3 linked regions of the Rhinolophus ferrumequinum genome follow. The protein of the gene in region 1 interacts with the protein of each later gene in a biochemical or structural test. Links are inferred from orthologs where the notes say so. Each region holds a gene or a part of one and is shown on either strand. Other genes may lie near its edges. The genes, in order: CRHR1, MAGI2 and MAGI3.

What was found.
Region 2: the proteins of CRHR1 (region 1) and MAGI2 form a complex in vitro, tested with the Homo sapiens proteins (2 studies listed by BioGRID and IntAct, with this or other methods). The link is inferred for Rhinolophus ferrumequinum from reciprocal best matches to the Homo sapiens genes CRHR1 and MAGI2.
Region 3: the proteins of CRHR1 (region 1) and MAGI3 form a complex in vitro, tested with the Homo sapiens proteins (2 studies listed by BioGRID and IntAct, with this or other methods). The link is inferred for Rhinolophus ferrumequinum from reciprocal best matches to the Homo sapiens genes CRHR1 and MAGI3.

What each region holds. Positions count from the first base shown.
Region 1 is NC_046304.1:40,821,803-40,825,547, reverse strand, and holds the start of CRHR1 (corticotropin-releasing factor receptor 1), read right to left. Parts: upstream 2,650-3,745; 5' UTR 2,181-2,649; coding exon 2,109-2,180; intron 1-2,108.
Region 2 is NC_046303.1:44,642,950-44,646,694, forward strand, and holds the start of MAGI2 (membrane-associated guanylate kinase, WW and PDZ domain-containing protein 2), read left to right. Parts: upstream 1-1,377; 5' UTR 1,378-1,854; coding exon 1,855-2,155; intron 2,156-3,745. UniProt on the Homo sapiens protein: Seems to act as a scaffold molecule at synaptic junctions by assembling neurotransmitter receptors and cell adhesion proteins. Plays a role in nerve growth factor (NGF)-induced recruitment of RAPGEF2 to late endosomes and neurite outgrowth.
Region 3 is NC_046305.1:44,417,557-44,421,301, reverse strand, and holds the start of MAGI3 (membrane-associated guanylate kinase, WW and PDZ domain-containing protein 3), read right to left. Parts: upstream 2,771-3,745; 5' UTR 2,263-2,770; coding exon 1,947-2,262; intron 1-1,946.

The sequences.
Region 1 (3,745 bases):
TGGCTAGATTACTTTTATAATAATAACAGCAAGAAAACCAGCTCCTTCTTCAGAACTCACTCTCCTTTAATAACCCACCCAGGCCTTGCCTTCTCCACCCTTCACACTCACCGGAACCCACGGTGTTGAGTTACACTCGGGTCTTCCTTCAGGGAGTTGTGGCTAGTGGGTAGGTTGACCCAGATGCGCTGGAACCCCGCTCCCTTGGGTGTAGAGGCAATATTTCACTTATCTCCTCCTTCGCATCCACAAACACGCACACACACATCTCTCCCGCATTCACACACACAACCACCCTCTCATGCACGCACACACATTTCTCTCTCATGCACACTCACACACATTTTCCCCACATACTCTCCCCACCCCACCCCACCCCTACTCTGCCCCAGTTCTCTGTAATCTCTGCAGTACAAGGCCCACAATAAGGGCTGCAGAGTGGATTCTTGCCCAACACTGGCCGACTTGCTGGGGACAGAGCTGGGTTTTGGATTAACTCCCCTAGATTCGTAATTTTATACTGACAAAACTACCTGAACTCTCATCTGGCAGAGGTCTAGGATGAGAGTTAAATGGCTTAGAATGTTTTCTGGTAAACGCTAACAAAACAAAGCCTTAGAGCCACAGTGCCTGGGTTTGAATTCTGGCTCCATCACTTACTGGCTGTGTGACCTTGAACAAGTTACTTAGCCTCTCTGTGCCTCAGTAATAATTCCTACTTCCTAGGGCTGTTATGAGGACTAAATGATGTAATATTTGCAAAGCAGGTAGAACAACACCCAGCAAGTTGTGCATAAAGAAAAAAAAGAATTATTTAACTGAAACCAGCATTAGCTGTCCATTCACTCACTGCCTCTCACTCAGTTCGGTATTTACTGAGCACTTACTGAGTTCATTAGATCAGACATAAAGGGTACATACCTCATCATCTAGTAGGAAAAACACACACACAACAACAACAGAAAAAATATTTTTTTCTTTTAGGAAAACATGATAATTTTAGGCAGTGATTTGCACACGATTCTCAGAAAGGCCAAAAAGAAAGAACATTTACTTATTACCAAGTAAACTTAAAAAGAAACAAACAAACAAAATCTGTCTACAGTTCAATCCTTTGAATCCATTTAAGACACTGAATTCGGTCTAACTGATTTGTGAATTTCGACCAAGGCCGGGAGTCCACACCAATCTTTTGGAAAAAATTCCCATTCAGTGCCATCTATTCATCCTCTCTGGATATTTTTCTTCGTACCTCCCTCTCCAGATCTCCTTGATCACCCAGAAAATAATCTCTAGGTTCACCCCCAGTACTCAGTTAATGGGTGGCGAAGGGGATGTGGGTTCAATCGGACCAACCCTCAGTCATTAAAAACAAAACCCACAAAACAACTTATAAATATCTGGGACACGGGGGGAGAACACGGAGAAGCCTCGGTAACTGGTAACCTCTCAACTGATGAACTGAGAACAGCTGCGTTTTAAAACCTCGGTGGTTTACCTCAAACCACTTTGTGAGTTGGTATGCGTACAGTTGGTTTAATAACTGATGGGAAAATGAAAAGTCAACCCGCACCCTTCCCCACAGTCCACTCAATTCTTCTGAATGAAATCGCTTTTAAACGCACTGAACCCCGTCACGCTGGTGTCTGCGTCTGTGACTCAAGCCGTCCATATCAACCCGGCCGAGTCCGGATCCTCTGGCCAGAGCCTGGCCGGGCTCCCCCGCGGCGGCGCGTAGGCCCACCCGCCTTCTCCCTCCGTCTGCTGCTTACGTGCCCTCACCCTGCAAGCCGAACCGCTTTGGGAAGCGCTGGGCGCTGGGGAGTGGAGGCTGTCACTAGGTGGCCGCGGGCCGGACTGTCTATCCCCAGCCCTTCCCGGACCCACACCGCCGCGGGCAGCCCCCTGCCGCCCCCGAACTTCAGCGGGCAGACGCTGGACGTGAGGTCTGGCGACTTTCCGAAACTCCGGGCGCCAGAATCGCGTTGCCAGACCCCAGGCAGGCGCGAGCCTTCACGGCCCACTGCGCAGCGCCCGGTGCAAAGACTCGGAGAGCGAGCGCTGCGCTCCCGCGGGCGGGCGGGCGGCCGCGCGAGAACAGTACCCACCTCCGAATGCACCGTCTCAGCCGCCGAGATTGCGATATTGATCAAGGGCTCCGAGGCGCGGGTGACATTCATCTCCCCGGACTTGCATCTTTCCGCGCAGGGGAAGGGGCAGGAAGGAGCTCCCAGGAACAGGGAGGGGGCGTGCGGAGAGGGGTTGCTGATGAGAGGTATGGGACGGGCAGGGAGCTCAGCTTCAGAGCCCCCTGTCCCGGGGCCGGGGTCTGCCTGGGAGGGGTGGGAGCTTGGACGCCCAAAGCCTAAAGCGATTCTCTGCACAGAGCCGGTTACCCGGGTGGGCGGACCCCCTCCTCCGCCAACATCCCAGCAGCTTCGCCACCGCGATTTCTTTTTTCACCTGTGTTGTCCCTCCACCCACCCAACGCCTCCAAAGGTCCAGGGAGAGGGAGTTGGGCAGCCCCTCAAACCCCGGCCGCGCCCAGACCTGTGCGCAGCTCTGCCCACTGACACCACCACCACCGCCAGCACCGCCAGCAACACGGCTCACCCACGTCCCGCGCTGGCCCGGGGCTGAGCGCGCCCGCGCTCGAGAGCTACCGGCTCGCTCTTACCTTGACGAGCCGGAGCTGCGGGTGCCGTCCCATCCTTGGGTCGCTCGGTCACCGTCCTGAGTGCTTGGGTCCCTCGGACATCCCAAAAGGGCGGGCCGGCGGTCGCGGGCTCAGGAGGATGGGATGGGCGGCCGGGCTCCTCTGTGGCTGCCCGGCCCCGCCAGGCGTGCTCTCGCTCTTCCCTTCCCGGGTAAGTCCGGCCGCCGTTTCCTGACTCAGCCCCGCTGGCAACCGCTTCTTGCCCGCCGGGAGGCCGCCTCACCCCCGCCGTCTCCCCCTGGGTCCACGCCGCCACTCGCCTCGGCTCCCCGCCCCCTCGCCGCGGCGTCCCCTCCCCTCAATCTCTCTCCCCTCCCCTCCACTTCAGTCCCTCCTCCGCGCGTCGCCCCTCTGCTTCCTCCTCCACCTTGTCTCCCAGTCCCCTCCTCTCCCCCCGGCCGGCTTCCCGCACCCTCGCCGCGCTGACCCCCTTTCCCAGCTCCAGGGTTTGCGGCAGTCAGCGGGGCGCGCGCTAGCAGCGGTGGCGGCCGCCGCAGCCGGGGGGAGAAGCAGGAGACGGGGGGAGCGAGGGGGGGCGAGGGACGGGAGCAGAGGCAGCCTCCGGCCTCTCGCCCGGCTTGAAATCGGGGCCCGGGGAGTCCAGGGCAGTCTGGGGGAGACTTGGCGGACTCAGGTGAATCTATGAGAGCAAGACTGTTGGAGGCTGGGGAATAGGGCAGCCCCTACTGAGCAGAGCCGCGGCGGAAACCGGGTGAAGAAATGGGAACTGCGTTTGGGCCGTTCCCGCCCTGAAGCGGGCCACGAGAAGGTTCCTGCGGCTCCCACTTCAGCAGGGCGGGGGAGTTGGGCCGAACCCCCAGAGCCTTTGGCACTGACACGCCAGGTGCTCACAGAGACGCGAAAGCTCTGCGGGTGGAATCCTTCTCGTTCATTCACTCAACTCATTCGTTCGCTCCTTCATCCATTCATTCATTCTACAGACTAAGTGCCTGCCCAGTTTGGGCAAGGGGCTGAACCTGGGAACCCCAAGATGATGGGGAGACGGGGGTGCCTTGCAGGATTAGCCGT
Region 2 (3,745 bases), on another chromosome or scaffold:
CTGTACCGCTCGCCTCCCACACTATCTCCATCTCAGACATCAAGAATACTAATTGCTCAGTGCTTTTCATGCTTTGCTTTAAAGAGATGAGTGGGTGTGCGACTTTTTTTTCCCTTGTCTTAAACATATCCTTTGAAAGTAAGGCAAACGAAATTAATTTACCAATTACAGAGATTTTTAAACCACTCCTAACATCTCACACGACATTTGCGTTGAGTGATAATCAGCATTGCTCCTGCATCCCTGTGCCTCAGTCCTCACCTCTCCTCCTGGCTGCAAACTTGGCGAAGGGAAGGAGCCTGGTGGTGGGCCAGCTACCTGAGTGCCAGCCCCCATTCTGCCGCTACGTTCACCCTCGGAGCCGGCCTTCTTTTCCTTCGCAGTCGGAGGAAGTTGTCGGGTCAGATCACCTTAAGGCTTCTTCCCAAGCTACCAGCCCGAATCTGCGGGCATTGCAGGGTGAGGGCGTGCCCCCGCCGTCTCCGCTGCAGTTCCCCGGTTAAACTGTCCATTTCTCTGGGGAGGCTGCTCACTGCACCCCCCCACTCCACACCCAGCCCCTTTCTTTCCGCTCCTCCCAACCTGGAAACCCGAAGCCCCTTTCCCTTGATCCCGGGAATCGCCTTTCTCCAGACACCTCCTCCCTCAGCCCGACGCGTGGGCTCAGCCTGCCCCGGGCAGGGGATGCTACCTCGCCATCCCCGCTGTCAGGGGGCCCCGCCTGCAGTTCTCTTAACTTTCCGCGCCTCCGATGGGAAGTCTGAGAACTCTGCCACGATCTAACCGAAACCGCATAGAGACTGAGTCTCTCTAAACAGCGAGATCCTGCGCCCCCCGCGGCTCCCAGCGCCGAGGCCTCTCCCGCAGCTCCCCAGCGGGCCCGCAGTCAGCCCTCTCACGGCCGGATTCCGCGCCAGGGGGGCCGGCGGCGCTCCAGCTGTAGCGCCCGCACCGCGGCGCGCTCAACACGCGGTCTCGCTAGTTCTGCTCCAGCCCATCCCGCGTCTGAGGCAGACGGAGCGTCCTCGCAGCGCCGCAGCCCAGCGCACCGCTCGGCCGCCGGCAGTCTGCAGAAAGGTCCGCACTGGGCTCGCAGCCCTGCCTGCCCGTCTTCCCACGCCGGGCCTCGGCTCCCCACCTTTCCCGCTCCCGCCTCCTCTCGCAGGCTGCCAGGCGGACGCAGCCTGCCTCTCTCTCTGCCTTCACTACCGGGTCAAGCTGCGGAGGGAGGGAGGGGAGACAGCGGCGAAGCGGTCCCCCACCCGGCGCGCGCGCGCCCCTCCTCCTCTCAGCCTGCCTCCTCCCCTCCTGCCAGTACTGTACAACTAGTGCACACACACACACACACACACACACACACACACACACACACGGACCCGCCGCTGCCACTGCAGCTGCCATGGGTATCAGCTAACACCACACACCCAGGCGCGCGCGCGCTCCCACTCGCACCACGCAGGAGTGGCCCCCGGCATCCCTACCCTCCTTCCCCACCCCCACTCCACCCGCTCACCAGCTCGGCTACTGCTCGCTCAGGCTGCCGCCGCCGCCGCCACCACCACCACCACCTCCTCAGCTCTCCTCTGCTGCGGGGCCACAGCTTTGAGTGTCATTCAAGGGACAGCACAACCTCACCCAAGCTCTCCTACCTCTGCCCAGCCGTCCCTCTCATCCTCCCCCTTCCTCGTCCATACTCCATCCAAAGAAGAGGGAAAGCACCGAACAGAGGGGGAGGAAGGCAAAGTCTGCTCTTCTCACCTCTTGGCCCCCTTGCTCCTCCATCCTCATTCTCTCATCGCCAATCCCCCTACCCAAAGGAACCCCTCAGGAGCTGAGGCGACTCGCCCCACTGCCATGTCCAAAAGCTTGAAAAAGAAAAGCCACTGGACTAGCAAAGTCCATGAGAGTGTCATTGGCAGGAACCCGGAGGGCCAGCTGGGCTTTGAACTGAAGGGGGGCGCCGAGAATGGACAGTTCCCCTACCTGGGGGAGGTGAAGCCCGGCAAGGTGGCCTATGAGAGCGGCAGCAAGTTGGTGTCGGAGGAACTGCTGCTGGAGGTGAACGAGACCCCCGTGGCGGGGCTCACCATCAGGGACGTGCTGGCCGTGATCAAACACTGCAAGGACCCCCTCCGGCTCAAGTGTGTCAAGCAAGGTGAGCGCAGCGGCTTGCTCCGGGCTTTGCCAGGCAGCTGGACCGCTCGAAGCGCGGGGCAATGGAAGGGTGGGCTCGCTGTGGAAGGGGGTGTGTTGCACGGTGGTGGGGTGAGGTCGAGAGAGTACCGGCAGGGCAAGTGAGCTTTGCGGAGAATCCGAATCGGGGCTAAATGGAAGGGAGGGCAGGATGCGGTGTGGCGTGCAACTTTGTTTGCGCAGTTATACCCTCCCCGTTGGAAGGTGCTCGGCCTTGTCTGACCTCAGAGGTGCAGGCGAGCTCCAGGGGCAAACTGAATGTGCGTCAGTGGCATCGCCCGCAGTGGATGAAGAGCTTTCAGGGACGGACGGAGGAAGGAAGGGAGGGAGGATGGGAGAAAAAGGGAAGAAGGGAAAAAAGAGGGAGGGAGAAATGGAAGGAAGGAGCAACTTGAGGGTGCAGCGGCATCACGAGCAGGGCAGGGCGGAGAGGAGCGGAAGGTGGCTGGGCGAACAGAGAACTACGCCCCCCTCCACCCCCTGATTTGGGGATCTGGACCGCAGACTCCTTGACCCGCAGCCATCTCCTAGGAATCCCTGAGCCACTAGTTGACGAAGAAGAGAAGGGACCGATTGCTTTGAGCGCTTTGACCGGTCTTCCTTAACTTTTCCCTGCTTCACTCCTCTGTCCCCCGCCCCCGTCCACAGTCAATCACGTGAGCACCGCGCGTCACGTGCGCACTGACTAACCCCGGAGCTGGCCCGCTGGAGCAGGCTCTGGAAGAAGGCGCGGCACCGGGAGCGGGTTGTAGGGTCAGGGGTTTGGGAGGAGAGCAATGGCTCCCCGAATGAATGTTCTGTACTCAGTGGTTGCCCTCTTTGAGTGGAAGTTCTCTGTGGTTGGACTCACCTCTGCCTTCCGATGGGGACAGGGGTCAAGTTTCTAAGGAGTTATAGGGAAAAGCTCAGGCCACCTATCAGAGGAGCTTCATTTGAATGCTGTGATGAGGACTTAGGGAGACTGGAATCTTGGCAGAACGCTCCCTAACTCTGTCTTCGCATGAAAGAAAATGATGGTCCTGAAGCAGGGACGAGTGCGAAAACGGTTTCTTGGAAAGAAGACAACTTTAACTAGAATAAAGTAGTGTATCTTTGTTTTCCACACGTGATCGCATCCGTTTACAGATCACCGGCACACTTCATGTGGGGTGGGAGGGTACATATGCGTGTTCACATCAATGCAAAGGTTTGTTGGTGGGGTTCCATTGGTTGTCCCGCCTCAAAGATGGAATTGAGCATGTCATTGCCTGCCTTTTGAACAAGCACTTATCTTACTTCGTGAAAACTGTCAAGAAATACTCTTAGGGAGATGTTCTTCTCTATAAAAATAGGTTTTAAAGGCAAACATGTGGAAAAGATATTTCAGGTGAAATTTCTTGAATGTAAATTGTCATGCAAGAAAACGTTTTCGTTGGGGATTCTTGAGTATTAATAGCTGATGACTTGAGATAGGCTAATTTAAACATTGACTTGGAGGTCAACATTGCTTAATAGTGTATGAAATTGAAGAATATGAGTTAAGTAGGAAGGCAAATAGAGTATTTTGGTATTT
Region 3 (3,745 bases), on another chromosome or scaffold:
ATTATTCCCTTTATTTTGGCTAAATATTTAAAATAGGACAGTACCAGCAGTTGTCAAGAAGGTAAAATTTTATTACTATAAAAATGTCAACTCCATTCTGGAACATCTGATGTTTATTCAACACAATTAATATTAGTAAATACACTCTGAATTATTTTCTTAAATTTGGTACAAAGGGTGAGAAGACGTATAATATGCAGATCAGACCAATATTAATGATACATCTCCCCAGTCTTCTATCAACTTCCTCTTCAATCAAGTTTTAAACTAGTTTTGAAAATACAGTTATCTATGCCCCAACTAACCAAAACAAAACACAAAGCAATTATGCAGATTTTCTCATTATTCCTCGACTCATGGAATTTGAACTAAATGGCACCTAGACCAGTAAGTTGCGTGTGTGTGTGTGTGTGTGTGTGTGTGTGTGTGTATTTAAGATTCTGCATTTTACAGACAGTGCCTGACTGGCTGAACTACATACAGTTCCAAAGTCTTTCCTCCACTCTTCACATATGGCTCTAAAACTTTGAGTTAAGAATTTCTGAATTCACAAACTGGAAAAGATGTTCAAAGTCTGCCAAAGTTGTTATATTTTTAATTAGCAACAACAAAAAGAAAACTTCACATAAACCCATAAGCTTAAAATGAGTATGATGGAATAGAGCATCTGAGAAAAATCTTAATTGAAGATTGCAAGAACATGTGAGTGTGTGTGTGTGTGTGTACGTGTATACACCCACAATACACACACATAGGTATAATGCACCACAAACCATCAGTTCCTATTAAGCCCAAAGGACTATAAAAGAGGTATTTCCAAAGTGAGCTACTGAGAAAGAAAGAAAAAAAAAGCGAGGGAGATAACGTCAAATTTTTTCCCAGAATTTTCTAGCCTTTTGCAGTGAAGGGATGGATTGATTTTTCTACCCCATCACAATTAAGCAGCTCATTATATTTTGATGCATTGTATATTCAGTAGAGCACATTCAGCAAAAATAGTTTGATTATTAATAACATTGTAGTCATAATTCTCTCTCCTACAAACATCTCAGAAAACAGAACCACATTCTACCACCGTTGAAACGCTGAAACCGACCAGCACTGTCGTCGATTACAAATACGTCAAGTCTATTATATACTATCAGATTTCGCTGTTCAGTCTGATCAGTGCTTTGAAACTGGCATGAATGCCATATGCGAAACGTGCTTTCCAGCAGATTTTACTATCATACGAGACAACAGGGCAACAGGGACTCTTTTTTTGCCCACTTCAACAAATTTCTGTAAAACCAAAGATTTACAAAAGATTTTCCTCAGCGAAGCACCTAGGTCTTCCCTTCGAACCCCAGACTATTCAACAGCTCCCTGCAGGAACACACCACTCGGCCACGCGTCACATATTGTACACCATCAGTACCCAGACACCTGAACCACCTGGCTGGCAGAGTGACGATGTCAGCTCCAAGGTGTTGCTAGTGTGCAAGAAACACTGAAGCAGCTAAGCCCTCCCAGGTACACTAGGTGGTAACGTTGGCACCAAGTGCCTCAGTAGTAAAGACCTCTTTCCCTGTTGGAAAACGCGTAAGATTGTTCCAAAGACAATGTTACAATCATGAGGACCTTATCCACAAAGGAAAGCAGAAAAGAGCTGGTTTTCTCTCGAGTCAAAAACTCTGTGGTAGGAGACGGAGCTACAAATTTAGGCAACCCAGCTTCTGGTCGCAATTCTGACAGCTCCCAGAGCAACCCTGCCAAGCCAGAGCTCAGTTTTCCCAAAGGCAAAATGGGAATCACTACTGCCACCCCTCCCCCTCGCCCGGGAGTCCGGCACACCCTAGAGGTCTAAGATTACCCCACACGATAAACGGTGGGGAGGGGCCGCTGCTCCCAGGACACCCACCCCGACTTCTCCCAATCCCCACAACAGAAAGGCAGGGCCGATGTACCTGGCTTCACAGTCTTGAGACGGATGGGCTCGCGGAAGTGGCGGATGACAGCCAGGGTGTCCCGGTGGGTGAGCCCGCTGACAGGCGTCCCGTTCACCTCCAGCAGCACATCCCCGGGGCTGGGCGCTTTGCCCGAGACGATGCAGCAGGTGCCCCCGCCCGGTTCCTCACGGAGCCGCCCCAGGTAGGGGAACTCGCCGCGCTCCGCGCCGCCCCGGATCTCCGCGCCCAAGTCGCCCGGGGGCCCGGCCCAGGACACCGCGCACTCCTGCACCTTGCTGAGCCAGTGCTTCTTCTTCTTCAGCGTCTTCGACATCCCGAACCCCGCTGCACCATGGGGGAGACCCCGCGCCGGCGGCGGGGCCCCAGGAGCCCGCGCAGCCCGGCGAGGGGGGCCTCGCCGCTCCGGCACCCCCCCAACCACAGCCCACTGGGGGCCGGGCCACTCCACACCCCGAGACACCCCTCGGATGCCCCTCTCGGCTGTGCTCCCTGGGACTGGCTGGGCTCTGCGAGGGCCACCCCGGGTTAGGCTGCAGAAAGGAGAAGGGAATTGTCTCTGGGCAGCCCCGGAGGGGTTTCGGGCGGGGTCACAGCAGCCTGCTGGCCCCCGGGCTCCGCGCCCGAGCGGCGGGAAAGGCTGAGCCTGGGAGGGCGGGGAGGTGAAGGGGGAAGAGCCGGGATGGGAAAAATCCGTCGGGGGCGCGCAGAAGCAAGCGTAGACGCGTGGCTGGATCGATCGCGGCCGCTGCGAAGCTGGAGCACGGAGACCAACGCCTGCCCCAGCTGCCAGGAAACTGCCGCTTTCAAACCCGCCGCAACCTCCTCCTCCCTCTCTCCCTTCCCCCCGCCCTCGCCCATCCCTCATCCAGAGCCCCGCCCCCTCCCGCCGCGCGGCGCCCGGCGCGCTGCCGTCACAGGCCGGGCGCTTGGGAACGAGCCCCAGCCCTCGACTCTTGCGCGGGGGATTGGCCCCCGGCAGGCAGGGGATGGACCCTCACCGAGAATGAAAACCACCAATTGGTTGGTGGGAGTGGAGGAGGCGGGCACTAAGATGACTGAAGTTTAAAGAGGGTGGAAAAAAGAAGTTTGAAGAGTGAGGGAGGGCGAGGGCGAGGGGAGGGGCAGGGGAGTGGAACCCGCTCCAGATCTCAGGGCCGAAAGAGGCCCTCCGGCAGCAGCTGGAGCCGAGAGAAAACTCGGTTACAGAAGAGCGACCAAACTCCCCGAGGTGGAGGCGTGGCTGGCTAGCCGGGTAGAGGAGTCGGGGGCGGAGCCTGGAGCGGCACCAAGAGGAACGAGTATACTTTAGACCTGAGACTACTCGCCGAGTCCCTGGCCGGAGGTGGCGGGGCCTCCAGGGTGAGCTGTTACAGCGGATCACTTACACTGAGTCTTGTTCGTGCATTCATGCAACAAATGTTATTGAGGCTGGGACTCCAGAGTCCATTTGATAGAGGGTAAAATAGAGTACTGCACAATGCTGTGTGACCTCAGGCAAATTCGACCACCTCTCTGAGCCGCAGCAGCCTTAGCCGATAAGTGGAGGTGACTCTGTCCCTCCAAGTTGTCGGGAAGATTACATGCAGTACTTACCTGCACAGTGCTTGGCAGGGAGTGGATGCTTACCATTTGGTAGCTGCTGCTGCTGCTAACATTATGTCAGAAATTGTGCTAGGTACTGGGGTTCAAGGATGAAGAAAACAAGAGGTCCTGCTCTCAAGGAGGTCACAATCTAGTGGGAGAGACTGACAAGTAAGCAGACTGCCTGAGATGAGGGTGGAGACTGAAGGTGGGTT